Linked DNA regions of Styela clava. The protein of the gene in region 2 purifies or fractionates together with the protein of the main gene of each other region. This does not show direct contact. Links are inferred from orthologs where the notes say so. Each region holds a gene or a part of one and is shown on either strand. Other genes may lie near its edges.

What was found.
Region 1: the proteins of RCC1-like G exchanging factor-like protein (region 2) and pseudouridylate synthase TRUB2, mitochondrial-like purify together in Homo sapiens (affinity purification with mass spectrometry; 3 studies listed by BioGRID and IntAct, with this or other methods). This does not show direct contact. The link is inferred for Styela clava from reciprocal best matches to the Homo sapiens genes RCC1L and TRUB2.

What each region holds. Positions count from the first base shown.
Region 1 is NC_135264.1:14,100,412-14,112,364, forward strand, and holds the start of pseudouridylate synthase TRUB2, mitochondrial-like, read left to right. Parts: upstream 1-5,843; 5' UTR 5,844-6,053; intron 6,054-7,527; coding exon of another isoform or gene 7,528-7,569; intron 7,570-9,019; coding exon of another isoform or gene 9,020-9,095; intron 9,096-11,827; coding exon of another isoform or gene 11,828-11,902; exon of another isoform or gene 11,903-11,908; intron 11,909-11,953. Other genes in the region: uncharacterized protein LOC120333741, read left to right, coding at 275-1,131, 1,601-1,807, 2,193-2,325, 2,762-2,846, 3,255-3,521; galanin peptides-like, read right to left, coding at 5,295-5,365, 5,661-5,750, 7,528-7,569, 9,020-9,095, 11,828-11,902. UniProt on the Homo sapiens protein: Minor enzyme contributing to the isomerization of uridine to pseudouridine (pseudouridylation) of specific mitochondrial mRNAs (mt-mRNAs) such as COXI and COXIII mt-mRNAs.
Region 2 is NC_135256.1:22,137,361-22,149,145, reverse strand, and holds RCC1-like G exchanging factor-like protein, read right to left. Parts: upstream 6,381-11,785; 5' UTR 6,039-6,380; coding exon 5,810-6,038; intron 5,346-5,809; coding exon 5,209-5,345; intron 4,817-5,208; coding exon 4,640-4,816; intron 4,548-4,639; coding exon 4,430-4,547; intron 3,767-4,429; coding exon 3,552-3,766; intron 3,020-3,551; coding exon 2,486-3,019; 3' UTR 2,352-2,485; downstream 1-2,351. Other genes in the region: DNA repair protein XRCC2-like, read right to left, coding at 7,202-7,993. UniProt on the Homo sapiens protein: Guanine nucleotide exchange factor (GEF) for mitochondrial dynamin-related GTPase OPA1. Activates OPA1, by exchanging bound GDP for free GTP, and drives OPA1 and MFN1-dependent mitochondrial fusion. Plays an essential role in mitochondrial ribosome biogenesis.

The DNA.
Region 1 (11,953 bases), on a different chromosome or scaffold from region 2:
CTTATATTTAATCGCAGGACAAAAGTATTCCTTCTTCCCACATATAGCATAAGATTAAATTACTGCTTTGAATTACAGATATCTGTGCTATGTTATAGATGTAGGATAATTGTAAAATGAATTCATTTAGGAATTTGTTTTTACTATTGCCTATTATTTGGGAACTTTCTAAAATGCATAATAAAATAGTAACTGTTACAACCATTTCTTTATGCTATTTCAATTTTCCCATTTTCTTCATATTTTTTGTTATTTTATTCTCCTGTATTTTTAGCGGATCTGGTCTGCCGGCAAATTTCCCAAGAAACCATCCTTTGTTCACTGGTTCTAATGCGGGATCTGGAACTGGAGGTAATGCAGGATCGCCGAGGAGACAAGGTGCAGGTGCAGCAGCAGGAGGTTCTACTGCAGGCGGAGGCTCAAATGGACTTGGAGGATTAGCTGGAACTGGTGGTGGTGCCGTATCCGGAGGAACCGGTAATTCCGGTGCTGCTCCTGGCACTTCCGGAGGATCCGGTGGAACATTTGGATTGTGGCCTGTTTTAACTCAAAACGGTCCAGTATACATCCCAGTGCCAAATCCCCAACCTAATCTACCAGTGGCGCCAGTTGCAGCAAATTCGCCAGGTAGTGCTTTAGCTGGTGGAAACAACAACAACCCAATAGTTCCCGTCAGATCACCAAACAATCCCATTGTTCCGATAGGTGGAGGCACATCTGCAAACAATCGCATCGTTCCACTAGGTGGCGGCACATCTGCAAACAATCGCATCGTTCCACTAGGTGGCGGCACATCTTCAAACAATCCTGTTGTTCCACTAGGTGGTGGCACGTCTCCAAACAACCCAATTGTGCCTATTGGAGGTAGAAGTCCATTATTTAATCCAAATCCGTTGAGTTCAAATCGACCAATCGTACCACTCGGTGGCAGTAGCAGTAATTCTGCAGGAGTTGATGGGAACACCCCCATTTCAAATGAAATAATCCCCATTGGGGGGAGTTCAGACACCCCTCGACCACCAATGCAGCCTGTTTTTGAAGACGAAACCGAACCCCCCGAGTATGAGGATTATTACACAGACCCTAACGGACCATATGATGAATACTATAACCATGAAGAAACAATTGTTGGTGAGTGATTTCTAATCCCTTTATTTATTTTTGTAATTTTAAGTGAAATGACCAAGTTCAGAATATGTTGGAGCCACGGAAACATTTTGAGATGGCCCACAGGCCTATTAAAAATTGCTGATTTTATTTTTGTCACCATAGTTAATTTTGATTATAGTAACTGTTTTCTGCTACGGAATGTAATTTTCATTCTAATTATTAACGTAAAAGTGCCCATTATTGCACGAAGATTTAGTTTTTCCTTGTTGTTTCTCCTTTTCATAAAAAAAGATAATAGGCCACAAAATTTTTGTTGATCAAAACTGGGCCATGAAAGTAAACTGTTCTAAGCATTAGGAACGCGCTTGTCATCGCTCGTCATATGATTAAATCATTCTATCGGCTGTCTTTTCCTCAAATATAAAAATATGAATTGGATAGACCAATTCTATGATTATAATTTTCTTATTATAAATTCTGTATTTTTCAGAAGAGCCACCGAATCTCATCCTTTCCATAACTGAAGATTCCTATCGCTATCGGGAAGAAGCCGCAGACGCATGCGCGTTTGAGAATAAAATATTATGTAGTCTTCCACAATTGGAAGCAGCTAAGCAAGCTGGGCCAATACCTCTCATTGAATGGGGATGGTTTGGTATGGAAGGGAGAGCAGCCGGTATACATGACTGTTTGCCAGGTGAATGTAATTTTATTACTTATTTTTTTACAGAAAAAACGCATTGATGTGAAAATTATTGGGCTCAAAGCACTATTACCGCTGATTTTTTAAGAAAACAACGCTTTTTGGCTGATTGGGTTATTTTAGTTTCGGATTTTCGAGTTTAGAATTGTCGTTTATTGATTCAAGTACTTTTTGGGACGACGTACGTATGTAGGAGTTTTAATCTTTTGCCACTTTTTATGGTATCACGACCTCTATTCTAGCGACAGTTCGAAAACATTTAACATAGTGTTTGAATTATCGCTGAACGCGTATAGTGTTATGCTCTTACAACGAGATAGAAATGTCTAACTATGCAAATAAATATGATATTTAACATAAATTATTATTTTTTTCACAGGCGAAGTCAAATGGCAAGGTTATAAATGTCATAATGGTGTCGTTGGTCACACTCCAGTGCAGCTATCTACAGCATTGAAAGGATATTGTTGTTCAATCATGCGTGGCGCAAATGTCACAGATAGAAAATTCAGGTTAGAAAACTACCCTTCAGTATGTTAAATTCACTTTTGACCGTTTGGGTAAAGTTGAAGTGCTGTTATTGATTAAAATCACCGTTTTACTCGTATTATTTGACCTTCTTATACAGAATTAGATTTTTATCGATATACCATTGTAACATATATGCAATGTTTTACACTTGAAACGAACTCGGTCGAACCTATTTCCGATTGTAACGAAAATCAGATTCAGATATTTTATTTTTATCATGCAAAAATCAATGCAAGAAAAAAGTGTATAACAGAATTAGAAAAAAATGAAATTGAAAATTACTTCCAGCTGAATTGCGAAACTATAACATCTTTTTTTTTCTAGTAATTTCCTTTCACGATAACCGGTCGTGAGGCTTTTGTAACATAAAATCTCGATGTGAATCAATAATTCATACCTAATATTTCTTTTTTTTAGTAATTACCATTCTGCAAAAGAAGGTTGTGAGTCCCTCGATTCACATATTTGTACATTGGAGGAAATGTTTGATGTTTGGGAGAAGGTACGTAAAGTTTTCTTGCATATTTCAGAATAACATACTTTTTGGTTTCAAATAAAAAATAATATTATGTGCATATTTTTTACATAATAACCACTGGTACATTGACCCCAAATTACTTATCTACAGTCTCTGACACGGCGCCTAGTTAGCAACCTAAAAGTTAGGAGGAGCTGGCTCTGATGACCACATGGTCGTATTGCTCCTTCCAGTCTATACAAAAAAAAAAAAAACTTTGCGTATGTTATTGTATATCTTTTTATTGTTGCTTCTTTTTTCTGATTGACGAAATATGAGTCTATCTCTTTCCCTATCTCTGGTATTCTTATATATATATTTCAAATTATATTATCTGAAAAGTATAACAGGCTATGTATAATTCTAATTGCGTTTTTTTTTCTCAAATTTTAGTCGAGTTACAAGAGCGATACATGGGGATGGTACAACGATGATCAACACCTGATTAAAATGGTTCATACTTGTGATCCTAACCAAGTTAGATGGCCTGGATACGAATGCCTATCTCGAAAATTAGCCACGTCACAGATTGTCAGTTTTGTTCAAGAAAGCGCTTATTGTTGCAATGGCAACTCCGGTGATGTCATCAAATCAAAGTTTTCTGTACTCTCGATTGCGTTCATTTTGTATTATTTTACAGTCTTTTTAAATTGTGAATAAATAAAAACCTACTCTTTATCGTTTGACTGAAATATTTGAACCTGTTTCTGGATCAACTCGTCCGCTCGTCATTTTGAAACTAAGAATATCTAAAAATGCGCAAATATCAACTCGATTTGGTGAATACATGTGAACAGTTTTGGTCACACATTACAGAACTAATTAAATATTGAAGTAAAATAATTTTTAGTCTGTCTCTGTACTTTTTTCTAATTTTATGTTATTAATTCTATGAATTCTATTCTATTAATTCTATGTAAAAGCTTGTTTTAGCTAACTTATATTATGTACAATAAACTGATTTTTTTAAAACTTGTTTTTTTTCCAAAGTCTGTTTTGAAATCATATATATAAGATTTCAGCATCAGACATATTTTTTAGCACTTATGTATGAAAGCTTGCACAAGACATTTTTCCGATGACCAAGTTTAACCCTTTCCCCGTCAGCGCCATAAATTTCAGCCTTCGAAGACGTACGGATAGCTGAGCTGTTGACATTGGATTAGTGAAATCGTTGTCATATTTGTAAAAGAAAAAAAAAATTTCATGGTTCCAACTACGGTGGATTATTTGGATCTGAATATTGTAGACGCTCGGATAAGCACACAAGTGAATTATAGATTATTCTAAAATTAATGGGCCACGAAAAATGTGTTTCGACAAAGATACACACGTCCAACGTTCCCTCTAAGCTGGCCGAGAATCTCCGCGCAGTACTTTCGTTCTGCCGCGCACTGCATAAGTATTGACAACAAGACAAGCTAAATACATACTTCATATCGCGCGCAGACCTTTTTTTGGAGCTCACATGGCCTTCTATTCCGCGCAACTAAGCAAGCACTTAGACTTAGAAGGAACGTTGCACACGTCACTCATATGGTGCGGCCTGCCCAGGCCAAGGAAGTGGGAACTAACAACAATTCCAGCAATGAGCGTTCCAGGCAACTCCCCATCACCGTCTACGTTATATTGCCGCCCATATTGCAGACCTCCTACGGACATCGGAAGTACAAGTAAGCCAACATATGCATGGAAACTAGTTACAAGAAATTTTATTGAAAGAAAGAAGAAAAAACAAAAAATACTCAGAACTACTATTTGGGGCAATAATGGAAATAGGAATTTCAAAAATAGTTTCTATGTATTTGGTAGCTGGATAGCAGGCTCAACTCTTTCAATGTTATATGTTTTTTATCGTCTGACTCATGTATGTATAGCATGAATTCGTGTAAATATGCAGAGATTGTGTTATGTTAAAGTTAAAACAGATAAAATAGAATTAATATATATTGCTTGGTGGAGAAATATCACATGATTCAAATTATAGTTTAATTTTTTTTTAAATCAATTTGGGGGTAGCTGCACAAGTTTCAAGTAATTAATTAACTAGGATAATCTTTATGAGGAAGAGCCCCTACTACCAGTCATATTTTTGGAGTGACCTCGTGATAATTATTGAGTCATAAAAGTTCAAAAGAAACAATGAAAATCCTGATTCAATTCAATGAAGGATGACCTCAATTCACATATGATGTCATTATAGAGCAGATATTAAATGATGAAATATTTTAGAATGAAAATTCAACAATTACAAAAACTATCACAGGAAAATGCAGGAAAAATATTAAAATGCACTTTTTTACACAATTATTCAATGATTTTAGATATTTTTTTCTGATCGAACATTACCATATATTTATCATACTTTAGAAATATGATTTATATATGGTTTGTGTATTATCAGAAAAAGAACTCATATTGAAAATTGTTTCTCTACTTGTCCACTGTTGAAGTCAATTCTGTTCTCAGGCATCGAACAAGAGCGGGACCGAGGAGACCGCTTTCTGTGATAAAAAGTTAGAACAAGAGTTGAATTAGTTTAATTTGATCCGTCTATCTGTCTTAGACCATTTTTTCAGCAATTTTCTAGACTTTGAGCGTTAAATTTATATTAGCTCACCCTTACTGCGCTGACAGTGTCGGCTAGGGACGAAGGAATAACTCACATTTGGCTATAATAATTTGATATTTAGTATTATACCGAAGCGCCATTCTGCATACTTACTTCTTATCGCTATTTTACGATAAAATATTTCTTAATTGAAAGTGTTTACGTAAAAGAATCTATCAAATGTTTACCTTTGAGTTCCAAGAAAGATACAAACTCGTCAAGAAGTTCTTTGATGTTATCTTCACCAATGGCTAACGTGGGGTCTTCATCGGTAGCTCCTGAAAACGAGAACAACAAAATTTACTACCATTGCTCAAAAGTTATGACATAGGTTTATATCTTTGAAATTTTTCAGAATATTATACAGTAATCTTCTCGCGGATTTACCGACACAAAAGTGTGGTTCAGTTGCAATGACGTCATAATTCGCCAGTCACGGGTGTTGATCATGTTAGTCTTCGGCTTTTGAGCGTGGACTGTTACGTTCGTCGTCTGCGTATTTTCGTTTTCTAATCATCATTTTCAACTCAATACATAATGGGAAGGAATTTTATTCAAACCAAGCAAAGTGGACCAATGAGGTATTTCATTATAACATTTATACTATGTACCAATATTATCTATGCTCAGACATACCCACTACTGTACAGACATACGTCATAGTCACACGATAAGTAGCGCTATAACAAGTCTCTTGGCCAAACATTTCGAGTGCATCGTTTTACGAAATTTACCTCAATGTATCAATAATAACACATCTGGATAATGCAGTGCTCTCAAAATGGGGAACGTCTAATCTAAATGATGGTAATACATTTGCATGCTAGTTTTGTCTTTCCACCTATGGTATAGTTATCGATGAGCGTGTTGTTTACGGTATTCCTGCGCACCAATCAAACAGTTGTCAGATGATTGGTCGCACCAGCGCATCGTTTTGCATCTTTCATTGCGGCGTGTGGATCGTAGAATATTCGGCGCGTAAAGTAATTTTAAGTCGACTGCGTATGCTTAATTTTAAAGTTACAGATTGTGAGGAACGCGGGAGTCACAATGCTAGGCGTAAAACTGATTTTACTTTCCATTTCACAAGAATACTCTTCGTTACTTCTTAGTTTTATTGCGTTTTCACTTTTTCGTGCATGAATTATTTGAACAGAATGGGATCTGGAATCTACCAATCAAAATAACGCTATAAATACCCCTGGAATGATAAACAGGGAGGCCATGAGTGCCAAAAGCATCCTGAACGGGGCCACGACAAATGAAAGGTTGGGAATAGACTCTAGATATTTCTGAGCAATATCATCTTATATAAATTGACGATCGAAATATCACCAAAACCTCACAGCGCGGGTATTAAAATGCAATGATTGCCCAGAGTTAACGTTACAGCCACTGTCGCCTAATTTCAAAAATATCCGCCGTCGATTTATCGTTAACTGCGGACATGCACAGGCTCCATAACAGACATATGCAAACCATATTATGTTTACGATATTATTTTAGTTGCGGAATAAATTTATTGCAGTAGGTGTTATTTTAATTGACTCGAGGGTAATATTAATAATGCTAAAAAAATTGAATAAATTCACGCGGTTGATTGGTGCTAACGAGTATTGATTTTTAGAGAATCAATCCTTCTCCGAGATAATAATCTGAGATATTTTACAACCAAATTAAGGGTATTATAAAAAGTTGGTGAATTCACTAAAAATTTGCATAAAATGAATCATTTATATGTTAATGATGCGGAATCAGTTTGGCGCAGGAATTTGATGAACCAGATTAGAAGTCATGGTCCGCTATATGATTAAGCCGCCTCGCTGCTTTCCTCACCCTCGGGGGTGAATATGAAAATTTTATATTTAGTCTGAAAAATGAATTTTGATTCAGTAATTTCTCCAGAGCATTTCTGGTACTTTTGTTGAGGTTTTAGAATTAGTTTTATTTTTCAATGCTCAATCATGCGTTAATATTATTTTCTGTGGGATTAAACAGGTTTAATGTCAGTTTTGATGTTTTTTATTTTATTTAAAAAATTCAAACCTTACTGACCTTGTATTCCGTCTCTTTTTCCAAACAGCTTTTGAAGGGCATCTGTAACAATAAAACATGAAATGTAATCAGCAGAAATAATTTTGCTCCAATATGCCTATTTTTTAAAGGTAGTAATCAATAGAAACATAACAGTTGGGAAAGATTTTATTTAACAATATCGAAAATAGAAACAAAATCGAATATTTGGTACTCCTTTCTAAGAATTGTTTATGAGCTTATGACTGAATATTCAATAAAATCGAGAAAGATTTTTATAGGATGCATCACGTAAATGGCGATAGTTGTTTTATTTCCGTGAATTTTATTTAAATATAAATGCAAAATAATAATTTGGTATATAATGAGTCAAGCTTAGATGAAATATACACTATTGGTATACGTTATTTTCCTTTTTTGCTTGAAGAGAACTGGAAACGGTGTAATAACTTGTGAATGTAAATTCATGTAACAATTAAAGTCAGACGGCAATAATAGATGTGCTGTAAGTGTGTTGTTACTTCAGTCAACTTTACTCATTTTACCACTAGTCCGCTTATTGCAATCGTCATAAATTCGAAATGTGTTTTTTTTTTATTTAGTAACATTCACTTGTGTTATATTTTACTTTAGATTTATTCTAAGTGTGCTTTAGATTTAGGTTGCATAAACCCTTATATCGAGGTTTCCAATTCACTACACACGGTCACCAGCGACGGTCCTGGCGCTCGTCCATCCCCATTTTATTTACTTTTTAATAGCAGATAGTTGTTCAATTTGAGTTTAAATTGGATACGAAAAACAAGGATGTCAAGCTTAGATGAAATAATATACACCATTGTTAGACATTATTATTCTATGTTGCTTGAAGAGAACTGGAAACGGTGACTAGCGACGGTCCTAGCGCCCATTCACTCCCATTTTAATTATTTTTCAATTAGAGTGGATAAGGAGGTGATACTTGATTCCAATAATGCATTTGCATCCCCAATTATTTTGCTTTCGAAGAAATGTTCTGCTAAGTTTTCCATTAACAAGATTGTAATCCTGTAATTTGTGACAAAGAAGGCACTTAGATCATGAATAAATAATATTATTCTGTTTTAATGGCTGTATTTGCCTTTAAATAGTTATATTTAAAAAGAATCAAGCTAGAATTTTTGAAATTGTCATTCCAGATGTTTACAATTAACATATAGTTAATCCACTGTCTTGAAAATGTATTCTACAGAGATCATTTTCTTCCCCGAAAATCATTTACAGCAGCTCGGTTTTCCGTTGTTCTACCTCAAAATAGAACTTTATTAGAAAAAATGGTGCGTTACTGAATATAACTTTAAATTTGCGTCTTTAACAAATTTTTGAAATTTTTGGGATCTGATATTACGCGCTATCACTCCGCCGTATTCAAAATTTTTATTTTATTAATATCGAAGAAAAGAGATTTCGAGCGAAATTGAAAACATTTTCGTTCTAGATAAATAGTGACCATAATAAATAATCTTCGACTCACCAAGTCCAGCATTGTAGCCAATGCTATTCATGGTCCATCCTCCAGTTCCGCGGTAGGGTCGTTTGTTACTGCTTGGCTGTAAAAAAAAAAAATACAATCATTTAATTTTTTTCTTGAACAACATGAATTTTTGCAAAGCTTGAGGACATACATTTGAATTACCGCATTAAATTGATTTATCCCTAAAAGCATTGACAAAACTTTTCAAAAAATTTTCGTATTATGGATTTCATTTTCAAATAGGAGTTGCAAATATACAAAAACAATCAAAAAAATTTTTACGAGAATTTAAACTCCTTTAAGTTTTGAAAGAACTATATCAAATGTTACCAAATTCTCGCAGGTCACGTGCGTCAGAGTTTTATAATAATGTCCCAATCTTTTCAAGCCTACTCATGACCCTGTCTGAAAAATTTATTTTTTACTCTTTCCGTGAGCGTTATATATTTTATGCTTTAATGATCGAATTAGGCTTTCCTATTTACGAAATTGCGTAATATCAAATTCACCGCAGTTATGACAAGTTTTTAAGTGTGTTTGACCAAATGTTGAACTTTGACAATATTCTAAATTTTTCGTAATTGAACTGTAAGTAGATTTAGATTCATGACTTTCTTTAGTGCTATACACATATTGAGAGTTACATAGAAAACTGAATCTCTGTATCTGCTTGGAATCCCTAATTAGACGAACGAAATTGCAGGGAATTAGAACCAGTTTGAGCCCAATTTTATCTTCATGATTGTTGAAATTGGGCAGAATATTAAATTTCTCGAAGTGATTTTAGTCCCCTTATTTCTATTTTAAGGTTCGATCTCCGTCTCGGAATGACCAACCTAGAACGAGCACTTAGATATTGAACTGCACCAATGTCGGTTCATCTATGTTTTAAAATGGCCGTCATGTTATTCATTAAATTTTAAAGACGTTTTTATTGAAATGCAAAAAATTAAATTCAAATCTGGGCTATACGCCACAAGCAAATCAATTTCAAGATAATGAATATTGAGGAAATATATACTAAAATGTGTACATCTAAAATACTACTATAGTTTTGTTGGAATTAGTTTTCGATTTTTTTTGTCTATATCGGGTAAAAAAAGTCGATAAGACTATTAGCTGGTTTAAGATTACCTATACAGGGCGTCCAAAAAGGCGCCCGATTTAGCAGTGGTACCAATGAAAACTTTTTCTTTATTTATTCATAGTTCTTATTTTGCTCGCAGTGCTAATTTATCATACAATAAAATAGTTATTACCTCAAAATCGGGCAAAATTTTTAAATAGTTATTGCTGTGGGCGAAATTTTTTATATACTGTAATTTCTTAATTTTTCAGATAGGGCTCATTTGATATTTTAAAAGGTGCTTGAGGTGGAGAAAATAACTAATAAAAATTTCTGTCTTAGATTTCTGCAGCGCATTACGTAAATTTGTGTGAAATACAGAACATGGCGCCAAATGCTTCAACGATCGCTAATATTGTACTAAAATTTCGCTGGGCGAATCGATCTTGAGTTTTATGCCGCATTCTTACGCACGTCAGAGCACGACAAAGAATGGGTAATTGGGATGAATGTTTTTTGCAAATATTGCTATATTTGTGAAGCGGCACGAATCGGAGATAGGCGTATACCATAAAGCTTTATCAGTTGATAATTTCGGATTGACAAATTGGATTCATTAAAACTGTAGCGCGACATATTTGTGGACAAGGAAGAATTTGTCCTTTATGTTCATTATTTACTGTGCTACCTAATCTCAAACTGTATCTCTGTGCAGTGTAAAAAAGCTGGTCTTACCGGCTTGCGGATATGGTTATATAACGGATATTATACCATTATGTTCCGTGTCCACAGATCTCACCGATAAAAAGTCTAAATATTTTTTTCCCAATCGCCGAATCTCAGGCACAGCAGATAGAAGAAATTGTGCGTGGTATCATTTGCTTGGCTTAATTTCCATAAACCTATTTCATGGATGACATAAAACAATTGGACAAAAATGCGTAACCGAATACCTTGGCCACCAATTCGCAATAGTGACTTGTTTGTTATGACCGTTTTTGCGACGTCAGAAAATCCACTCATATATGGCAGATTTCACGGTCCATTGAACAAAACGATTAAAATCATTCTGACAAATCTAATGACGTCATATTAAAAACCATATGTATACTGACCAGCTCTAGTTCCGGGTATACTTTTAAACTCAAATGAGGCTTAATGGACAAGAATACGACCCTACACGATCTTCGATGTATCAATTAACGCATTAGGAAGCATGAAGGCCTTCTGCATAATTTATTTTGTCAAATTTTTACGCAAAAAAATAATTCAATCAGGCACATAAGGGTTATATATGTACGAGGCTTGAAAAGACAAAACATCTTCGAAATACCCCCGAATACCGCCAATGTAAAAATTACTTAAATGAACACGTGCGGTTAAGATAACAAATTTCAACATGTCAATTTTGCGGCATAAGTACTCATATATAGTCCTCGATTTTCCGTAACATCAGCCGATGTTTATATTGTGCATATAGGCTTCAAAAATAAACGTATTTGTATATTATCCCCAGTATAATTATCGATATATTTCCCTGCGGAATCGGACTGTTTCACTAATCGATGTGGCTTTATATAATTATCCTTTGTTTGTTTTTAATCAGCGTTTTGCGAAATGTTGGTAAAGTGAAAGCCGCAATTAATTAGTAGGCCTATACGAAATTCATTGCTATAGAATTGAAATTTTGAATTTCCAAAATGGTGACAAACAAAAATTAGGAATATTAAAACAAATCTTACCTGTGCTTGTGACGCCATAAACACTTGGATAAGGAGAAATGCACAAATGAGGACTGTAGCTGATCTTTGATTCATCTTGATCTGAAAAAATGGAAGGAATTTAATTCCAAATGGATAACAATAAAA
Region 2 (11,785 bases):
AGTGATTTTAATACACAAATTCGGTAATTATTAGCCTTGTTTTAATAAAATTTGACTTTTTATTAAGTTGTATTGCTTCCCGAAATCGTGAGATTGCACTGCAGAAGTGGTTTATTGCCAAAGCAATCGATCAAAAACAATAAAAAAGGTTTCTGGGAATTCGAAAACGAATTCTCAAAAAAGAAATCATTATGCGACGTTCAAGCTTTTCAGTTTAAAACGGCGGCAGGTGAATTGAGTTACTTTAAGATGCCAGTTAAATTTGTGCGACACACGCGAGGATCCACGACTACGCATATTTGTTCCTTTGCCTGTTTAAAATGACCTCAACTCGTTTCTGTTGGTAACCATTATAAGCTCGCTATAGCTTCCCATTGCATTTTTAGTCCTGTAATCTCGGATTGATTAGTGTATAATTTCCTCAATGCAAAAAAACCCTCCGGCCAAAATAGCAATGTTTTGAAAACTATGACTAAGATGCGAAAAAATACCACACCTTGGGCACTTTCCAGTCTGCGAAAACAATTATTCCGTATAGAGCAAGTAACTTTTTTTTCGGGTTTTGTCTGAACTAATGCATTAGACATTACGGACATCAAGGATAATATTATACATGTACAAGTCATGTTCATGTTTCCCCCTAAGCTATACATAATTATATTCCAGTTTCTGTAAATCCTTTTTTTATATTTTGGCTCAATTTTTAAATGGCTTTTGTACCGCGGCTTCAAATTGAATCATTTGTTTTTCAAATTGTGTGTTTGTTGTGGAGGTTCACAGCTGGGATTTTGGTGGATTAGTGAAGAGGTTTCAAGAGTGTGGTATAAATTCGTTCTCTATTTACGCATTCATGTTTGATGACATTCAGTGCGGCTACTATGCTTTAACTTTCGAAAGCCGTTGCTCTATCGATATATGCACCTACTTTTTTACTTTCAGAATTAATAGCACGAATGTCGGCCGGTCACGTCAGTGAATATTCACCATCACGTTCTGTTTTCAATTTATACGAACTGTGTATTATAACTCCTTGCGATTGTTTTCTTATTCATAGCCCGTACATTGAGACATTTGGGACAGACGAAATAAAATTCAAAGCCGAAAATAATCTGATTCGTTTCCAGTAAATATGAATAAATTCAGTTGACCAAACAAGCGTAGTCACAGCACATTTGCATATGGATCTTTTATGTATTTGCTGCAGTATTACCAGTGTTCTTTATTATTACTATAATACTTATTTAGGCACACATATAATTGAATTAAACTACTTGATTTGTTCAAAAGCGGGAATGAGACTTGCACATAACACTGGGATTCACATACTTAACCTCCGTGTAGAAAGCCGATAAGATAAGAGGCGCACGCTATTTATACCATATTCATAAGACTTCTAGCCCCTATTTCAGTTATGTATTTGATCTCTGCACAGTATTGTATTCCTATGAACCGCATAGGTTGCCTCAGCAGTCAAATAAAAACAATGTATACCACTGCCGCTTTGTTTTCATGTTTTATTTCCCATATTTCGAATTCAACTGAATATTCTAACTAGGGCTGGGAATGGTTAACCGATTTTAGATGGTTAACGGTTACAATTTATTCTAACCGTTAACTGACATCTTAGGTACAAATTATCTTTATAATGTACAACTTTTTTAAAAATGATTACGTCATCGCAAATTTATCTCCTGTGGCATTTAATTCTAAAGAATAACACTATCTGTATTGGTAAGGACCCAATAAATGTGAACAATAAGTACTAAGATTGCTGATTATAAAAATTTGACAATGATAAATTCAGTTTTCGGTGAAAATATTTTGTTCCCGATTTTATTGCAAAATCGTATATTCAATGTCATTCAACAAGTTCGCAGTAGATGCCGTTTTTCTTTATGATATCTCAGAGTATAATTTGCACGTCCAACACTGAAAATTTGTCACATAAATGACATTTAATAATGGATTCGGGTTTTATTAAAATACTTTCAGATGTCCGAATCACGCTGCATATCTCTTGTAGCAGAGCGATCACGATTCGTGAATAATTTTGAGCGATAGCGGGATAAGATCACCCGAAATTGCTCTGTAACCGTTGTGACGTAACTAGCTAAAATTATAAATTATTATGTCAAAGGTTACGTTGCGGTTAACCGGTTAATTTTACCCGGTAAAAGTGTATTCCCTGAAATTCCCAGCCCTAATTATAACAGATTATTACAATATCTTATTCATGGACACTTTCATGGCAATCTTCTGATGCTTCTGCCACTGATCAAATATAGACGGCGCAGGACTGGACGCCAGCATTTAGGCAGGCACAACCAAGATCTTCAAAGCGAATAAACTAAGAGTTTTATATCATATTTTAATGCAAATGCTGTTGAAATCATTTTTCTCATAACAAATATATCTACCAGCGACCTGAAACTTTCCTGCCACACCAAAGAAAATGCGTCCATAAAATATAATATTAATTCAGGAATTACAACATAGACTTTGACAGTATAACGGTATGATCAACACCACAGAACACATCGACAACTTCTCCAGGCACCAAGACTTTCCATGGAAAATATTGGTCCCTGTATTCACCAATACCAAGGCAACCAGATTTGTTTTTTCCCCATGTAAAAAGTTCTCCATTATTTGTAACAGCAGCAAAATGATTCATTCCACATTTGATTTTGGTAACTTTTACACTTGGACTGAAAGTAGACTCTCCAAATAATGTTTGGGGAATTTTTTCTGGGTGTCGCGAGTCTTTCAAATCGGGACCTTTCCCTAAAATTCCATATCCCCAAACAAATACCTCTCCCTCTTCATTTAGTGCACAGCAAATGCTACCGCCAGCCGCTGCAGAAACAATTTTACCGATATTTTTGAATGGGAGTCTGATTGGAGTGCAAACTTGTGTGTCATCTGTAACGGATGCAAGTTGATAATATTCAGAATTACCCCATCCATATAAATGACCATCTTCGCAAACTGCCATACTCATGTCAGCAAAAGTAGAAATCTATAAATATACATTATTAAATTAATTCCTATCAGCCCTGTATAGTTTATTATAAGTTAGGAAAGCATCTATCAAGGATACGATGAGATATACATATTCATCTTGGAGGAAAGCCGATAAGACAGCATAATCATATGGTGAACCCTATTGCCGCCAAACACACTGCCATTTGTCTTAAAATGGGAAAATTAACAACAACAGAATTTTTGTTGAAACTTTCTATCTTCAAGGAACACGTACCTCAAATCGGTACTCACCCATAAATTCAAGTTGTATAATACTGTAGGCTCTTCCACCGGAATGTGGAATGAAAATTTCATATGAATTAAGAATGATTTTATCCGAGCAACACTCTGGCTCACTCGGAAAAAGTTGCAGATTTATTAGGTTGAAGAAAAAATGAAGCAGAAAAACTTTCCCACCGGGTTGCAGCAACATGCGGCTATGGCATGCATTGTTTATTATGTGATGGTTGACTAATATAATATTAGGCAACACCATATTTGAAATTTTTAAAAACTTCAAAACATACCTGTTGTACTTTAACACCTTCCAAATCACCTTTCAACAACTTTGGTATTCCAGTTTTCTCATATGAGCCAAGACCAGTTTGTCCATCTGCACCCCATCCACATCCGTAAACTTCTCCTGATTTGGTGAGAAATAAACTGTGGTCCATTCCACATGAAATTTGAGTCACTGGTGATAAGAAGTGATTATGTGGTATGCAATGGATCTTCCTGCTACCTGGAAAAAGCAACTCAAAGAATTTGGATCTTCCTGCTACCTGGAAAAAGCAACTCAAAGAATTTGTTCAATAACAATCTTACATCTATTCCATCTCAATTTCTGTAGTGAGTAGTAACACACATACTCGTGGTCTAATTTCATTGGTTCTCAAAGTGCGCCATACAGAGCCCCTGGTCACCACAAGAGAAACCTAAGGGCTCGGCAAACTATCCGTGTACTTATTAGAATACTGATTTGACTAACTTCGTAACTTTCCAGAGAATAATAATGGCATTAATAAATTTTGACAACAGTAGTATTACGGTAATTCAAACTAAGACATTATTAGGTCCCAATAGATAATGCCATGTTTTAATTACTGCCTTGTTGCCACATTTCGACACTACATTATCAATATGTTTGTCATGTGTCAAATTTATGAGGCTTTGTAAATTGTAGTCAACCTCTTAACTGGCTCCAAACCTGGCTCTAACACCAAAAGTTCGGGAACCCCTGGTCTAATGGATGTAAGGGCAGTGGCAACTGGCAACGGTTTATGGTGAAATTTTTTTTACAAAAAGTGAAGAAATGCATTGCAAACAAAAATTTTCTTAGTAAATACTCTTCAAACTGCAAAGATCAATACGTAAAAAATAATGTTTAGAAATATAAAAATGTTACCTTGATATATTTCTCCTTCAATGATTTCTCTACCACACTGTCCAAACGAATTACATCCAAATGAAAATATACCTTCATTATCAGTTAATAAAAGAGTGTGAGCCCGACCACAGGACACCTAGATATGAAATGAATTAAAATACAAATAATGGAATTATATAGCAACAAAAACAAGATACCAGTGTTCACGAAAAAGGTGTCATTGTTTACCTGGGTAACTTTCGTTTTTGAGAAGGAATCAAATGGAATAGGTATTGCTGTTGTTTCCATAACATAATCGAAATGGCCAGATTCTGCAGGACGCCCTTTCGTGACTCCTTTTTGACTACTGTGAAAACCAAGTTGTGATTGAGTGTTTATTCCACTTCCCCAAACCTTGATCAAATCCTATAGTAAAAGCCATATGAATTTGTTCACCTTACTATTCAGAAAAATCAATCTTTTTATGTCAGATGTTATGCATGCATTTTTTGTGCAGTTTTCTAAAAACAAGATTCCTAGCCTTTGCACCAGTGATTCGTAAGAAAACTCAAGGAATAGTTATTTGTGAGCATGACTATCAGTTTATTGGCTAAATCATGTTGGAGCAGCAGGTTGAACGATGTCAATTCATGATTATAACAACATATATTTCCCAAGTTATGTTGTTTGTTTCAATCTTGATTATTCCTTAGTCAAATAACTATCAATCAATTTTCAACACATTTGTGTTACTTTAGATATATATTGATGTCACCTCATATTTGGTAATATTATTCAATCGAGAATGAAATCCTTACTCTATTATTGCTTGCAAATACTGTATAACCATATCCACAACCAACACTTGTTATTTTTAATTTGCCAATATTTGTAAGTCTGATAGGATATCGTCTACTTTGAGTTCTAGATGATTTTTCTCTTAATCCAAGTGCACCTGAAAATCAACATTGAATGAATTGTTATCTGGGAAACAAATCCCTTCATTTAAGTTGAGTTGTGGCTTATAAGTGGATGTATGCCATACATGTGCCATAAATAAGAAGGATACTGTAGCTCCATATGTCCCGTTATGATGAAAATAGATGCGAAAATTAGCAAACATTTATAATGAATAAATTTACGAATTGTGGATAAAGTTTCGAGCTACATATACACCTTTGTACTTGTGTTTTTATAGATTCAAAGATCCTCTTTTAGGAGCACAGGGATGTGCCTATTCACACAAATTATAGCTTATAAAAAAGTTTGTTTACAAACATCTCTAGAATACCTGTTTTATAAATTGAATCGTAAACAAAAAATATGTCCTTATATCATATATCAAGATAGCAAGTACCGTATGTATTAACATAAAAAAAGAATTTGTTGTAAATTAAAAGGCCAAAAAATATAGAATACCTGTTGCTGTCAAGCCACATGCAAATAACATATTTACACGCTTGTGTGTTTTGTCAATATATTTATGAATTGGTAAACCTTCAGATTGGGCAGGATCCCGATCTGATGAAAATGGAAGTGTGGAAGAACATCTTCTTAAAACTTCAGAAAATCTCCAGAAATTGGATTTTTTTCCTGTTTGACATGTTAAAACTTTTCGGCAAAAACAATTCTTACAGACAATTGCCATTTTTTAATCAGAATCTAGAAAAAATGAAGAATAATAAAAAAAAATATAGAAAGAAAAATATCTCAGACAACTTCGAATAAATCACAGAAATCATGTGATAATGTACGTACGAACAGAAAAACATATTCTCCTAAAGTTTTCAACATATAATATTCAACTACTATGAAAAAAGGCATTTTATAGCATTTTAAGACAATTTCTATTCCAGAAGAGCATTTACAAATTGCTGTAATCACCAACCGAAAGTTTAAAATTAAATGCAATGAAAATGGATATAGAAAAATGAAATCAACGGAAATAATTATTGTTTTGTCCAAGGTTGCCTGTGTATCAAATCCATCAACTCTCTTGATCCTTGAGATTAGCAGCTTGTGACTTTATTTCTTTGATGACAGATGCAAGTGCTTCAGGGTTGATACCAAGTTCACATAGTTCTACGCAAATGCTCAATGTTTCAGCATCCAGCTTTGTATCCAATATTTTTGATATTTCAAGTAGAATATCCATTGCTTCTGAAGTTTTTGATGCATCCATTGCCATGGTGCTCATGCAGGCCTAGTCTTTGTTGCAAAATCAGTAGGCTACTATAAATATCTATAGATTATAAAAACTGTTTAAACCTATGTAGTGTTAAAACAATTATACCTAAGTTTTTTTCAATTTTTCTCACACATCAAAAATGAGTACGGTGAGCTAGAATGATCACACTGTCAGACTGTAACGAGAGAATGCAACATCACAGCAGAGTAAAATAGACCAGAGTCTCCTTGTATGACAGGGCTAAACTTATCACTAAATAACTCTTTAAATATCCTGAATACTCTAACTTTGTTCATTGCTTTTACAAGACGAATAAACATACATACATACATTATGCTAATTGGATAGCAGCATATGTCTGTATGTATAGGCAATAACAAGCTCAAAAAATCAGCTGAGATAAGTTATTGAGAAAATGTCAACTCCAAGGTTACTCAATTCTAATAAAATATCAACCAATGCTTGAAATATTTGCTTGGAAAAAATTGCCACAGAAAATATATTTCTCTGTATCATATGAAACTTTGTCATTTTAATATATGTGTAATTAAAAAATTAGTACTAAAATATTAGCAGGAACCGATAAAAATTAACTCAATTATTCCAGTAAAAAGGAGTAGTAACTATTTCACTACACTGCCTTTCAGAGAAAATGATACATCATAATGGCTAGGTGAAAAACAACTAAGAACTACATCTGTCCGATTAAAATCATCAATCTTACTGATGGTTGATGATTTTTTGAATTTTAAAATAAAACGATATGTTACAAAATTCTCCCAAAAATCACCATATAATTTTAGGTTTCTCAGGTCAAATTCCTGGTCAGCATTTTCTGCAGTGATTGGTGGAAACATTTCAAGAGTACGAACCAAAATAGAAAGGTTATATTTTTTATGAAATAAGTCTAAAGCTTTCACCAGTTTTCTATAATTTTGCTCTTTCAAATATTGAGAAAAACCTCCAGCACATTGCTCGTTCCAATGAAATGTAGACAGTCCATCAAGAATTAACAATTTCACAGGTATTTTGCTGTTTGCAATCAAAGGTTCAATTGAATAGAGTGTGATTATCAATTGTTCAACAGAATCACATCTTACAATATAAAACTTTCTTATCCATTCTTTTAGCTTAGATTCATCAGCATTTGTACGCTCTTCCATCATTGAAATCAAAGATAATAAATCAAAATGTTGATTCAAGTCAAAATATATCACACCATAATTGCATCCACCGTGTTCTTCTGGCATAACACAGGTTACTAATGCATTGATCAAAAATATGTTTCCAGGCTCAGTTTCATTGTCGATGATTTCAATGACACTCTCGTCATGAACCTTGCTGGGTTTGACAAGTTTTCTCAAGATTGAGTTGGCCGAGAACACACTTCCAGATGATGCGTGGTGGCTGAACATGATTTACTATTTAACAGATATTATCACAAATTTGCTACTGCTTCATTGTCATTCCCTACAGCACAGCTGTTAGAAGCTAACACTGATTTACTGACAAATACTTCTGTATATTTTTGAACTGTGAAGAAAACCACCAAAGGGTAAAATATGGTTCTAGTTAGGCTTACTGTACGTCCTGGTTTAGCCAGGACAGTCCCGGTTATATCATATTTTTCCGCCGTCTCGGCGATAGACTCTAATGCCCCGGTTTTCAGTATGGCAGTCATAAATAATTTTTCTATTTGATATTATTACAAAATATTTTTTTAACAGATGCAGCTGATTTACGTCTCACTTCACTAGTTCAGATAGGGAGTAAAATTGTTATGTCATAATTATGATATGAAGTATGAACCATGCCTTAATTTAATACCCTACCATGCTGTCGTTGAATCATCGAAATGCCGAAACAAAGTACAAGTTTTATAAGGAGCTGAACAATTTCCAATATTTGAACAAAGTGCAGGCCAATACAGCAATAGAGGATATTTTGACAGGATTAACAGCTCATTTTGATACCCTTAATAATCTATCAGGTCTGGTATAGTTTAGTACCACATCCACTTCTAGTTGGCCTGGCTCAACAATTTTTGCATATGTCAATCCTAACCCCCACCTGACTACGTCACCGAAAAATTACGTCATTCTGACGTCACAGTGGCGTAATAAGGCCCACCGAAGTATGCGGATGGTCGTCCAAAACACGCAGACGATAACCCGAAATCGAGCAAGCTATTTCTCTCGTTTTCTAGTCGCAACGATCACAATAGGAGAGAGATCGCCGGCTTTAGCAAGTTCTTATCGGCGGCGCAGATGCCATTTCGGGCGATCGTAATTATACTTTGGCAACCCCTATGGTGACGTCGTAATGACGTAATTTTTGGATGGAATAGTCAGGTGAGGGTTAGGAATAACATATGCAAAAATCGTTATGGTACGCCCACTGGAAGTACTTGTGGTACTAAACTATACTAGACCCAATCTATCCACAATGGTATTGGAAACGTTTAAACTATTACTAAGCCTCTGGAATCGAACCGAGGTTGGCTTGTCCAATCCGCGTCGTCCCTTTTTTTTTGCTTCAGAAATATGGTTAGCCTAGTTATAGTCATAGAAACGTAGAAAGTACACAACTGCCAGACCATCAGCAACATGGACAGTGAAAATTGAAGGCAACATCAATAGTTGCTCTTGAATCCTATCCTTAGGTCAGTTGGTTCCTTACCGTACCCTTATCGTCACATAGTATACACGATCACATACATGATCTACAGGAGCGGTGACTCCTCTACGGCCCATGGGCCGGGGCCACGGCCCGTCTAATCGGGCCACATGGGCCGTGGCCCATAGCTTGATGGGCCGTGGCCCCATCAGGAAAAATTCAATTATTTTGACAAAATTTTCAAATTTTACCAAATTGTCAATATTCGAACCAAAAAAATATATACTCCTGTAGTATGTGTGCCAGGTTAGGGTTAGGACAAAAAAAATTCAGATTTTTTACATTATAGTTCTATTATGATTTCGGGGACTGTCTGTGTTAGCCAAGGGAATAGTTTCTTTACACAACTAGATGGGCCGAAGCCCAATTCGATGGGCCGTGGCCCCGGCCCATGGGCCGCAGAGGAGTCACCACTCCCACTCTACATGATCAGATGACATCCCGGTATCAGTGTTTAAAAAAACAGTGCAGCAACAACAAGTACCGTTACCGTACCCGTACCTGTATGGTATTTGAATCTGAATATGACGGATAAAGCACAGCAACAATTATGGCTTATTTATTCGGAAGCGGCATAGCATACGGTATTCGAATACCGAACACTTGTTGTTGCGTGCTGTTTTTTCATATTTTTGAACACTGATACACACGTTTTGTTCTCCAATGAACACCAGCCCTCGACACACCCACACGGAGAGAGAGTGGTGTTTATAGCGATTTGTCAATCAGAAAAGTAGGTGACTATACCTAAATGTTTTCACTTGTGAACAGAATTTTTCACCAGGATAGGATAGGATTTACATATTTATCCCGGGAGAGAGGAAATCCGATAAGACGGCTTAATCATATGACAAACCACGGTCTCTCGTCCGGTTACCAGTCCAGAGTCCAGGTATGGGGTTAGTTAGCAAGGTATTTGTTTTCGGAAGCATGGATTTGGTGGTAGAGGAAGCCGTAACCGACCAGCGGTTACGTAAACCATCCTACGCCATACGGCGGCGAGGAGTCAAGCAATCCTCACGCACATGACCATCCCCGCATGGGATTCGACGAAGGGTAATCAGGGATGCGGTGGCGAGCGTATTCCTAACGCTTAGCACAATGCGCCACATCGCCGAACCGTATTCATTCAGTCAGTAGTTTATATTTCACCGAAATGAAAGTGCACTCACACTGGACATAAACTTAAAAAAAGTTGAAAATGACATTTCATGGTGAAAGGTGACGCGAAAATCCAAAGTCGGTTATCGAGCAGCGACACCTGTAATCCACCGACACCTGTATTCAGTAATCAGTATTAAAGGTATATTCACAAATCAATGTACATGCGATCTTTTTTCAACAAAAATATAATTTTTGGCCCATTCGTCCAAAAGAGGGCGGAAAGGATTATGGCGGAAACTGGAAAATCGCCATATGATTTAGCCGTCCTATTGGCTTTTCTCTCCCCCGGGGTGATTATGTAAATCCTATCTTATCTTATATACCAGTGGTTCTCGAACTTTTTGAAAAAATGTGCATAACGGCCCACTTTCAATTTTTCTGATGACTAGCGGTTCACTAAAGAAACTAAAGCAAATAGCAACTTGGTATATGTGCGCGGTAAAAATGTGCATAACGGCCCCCTTTCAATTTTTCTGATGACTAGCGGTTCACGAAAAAAACTAAAGCAAATAGCAACGCGATATATCAATAAAACAGTTCAATGAGATGGGTGTCCCTGCTTGGCTCCCACTAGTTCTTTTACCTTGGCCTTGGTTTCTGTTTCGGGCAATGCAACCTTTATATTGTGTCTCACGTTCATTATGTTCCTACATTTTGTTTTAATAGCGTGTAATGTAGAGAAAGCTGCCTCACATCCGTAAGTTGTTGCAAATGGAATGAGCATCTTTTGTGCCATCTTAGCGACATCGGGATAGAACGGTGCCACTATGGTTTTTCTTCTTCTCCAGACCTTATCACAGCAAAACTAAATTTGACATCTTAATTGTTATATCTAAATTTACCTTTTGTGACGGGGGAGGCATTTTTTAAATTACCCCGAGAAAATTTACAATTAGAAGCACACGCCTTCATAAACAATACGCTCTGATTCACTGACGTTGCCACGTTTATTACGTAATAATGTGTTCGGTAGACGGTGTCGTGCTTTGGAGAAACACAAATTTTACTTTAAATCAATCAAAATTGTCCTGCGGTCCCCCTGAAATCGCTTTGCCGACCCTAAGCGTCCGCGGACCCCAGTTTGAGAACCAATGCTATATACGATTCACAATGAAATGGTCATTATTATTGCAACAGCTTAAGCGTTTCAAAAGTATAACAGCCTGGAAGTTCCTATACATTCGACTATGTTTTGTTTGCTTATTTCTGGCCCAAACCTTGTTTTAACTAGGTTTGTGTTTTTTGTAATTTATTTTTCTGTTTGTGCAGGTGGGCGGGCACATGATATTTCCCATGTTTTAAACTTGTTGAGAAGTATTGCTTGCCCTGCAGAATTCTCCATTTTAACTTTCTGTATATTATTGAGT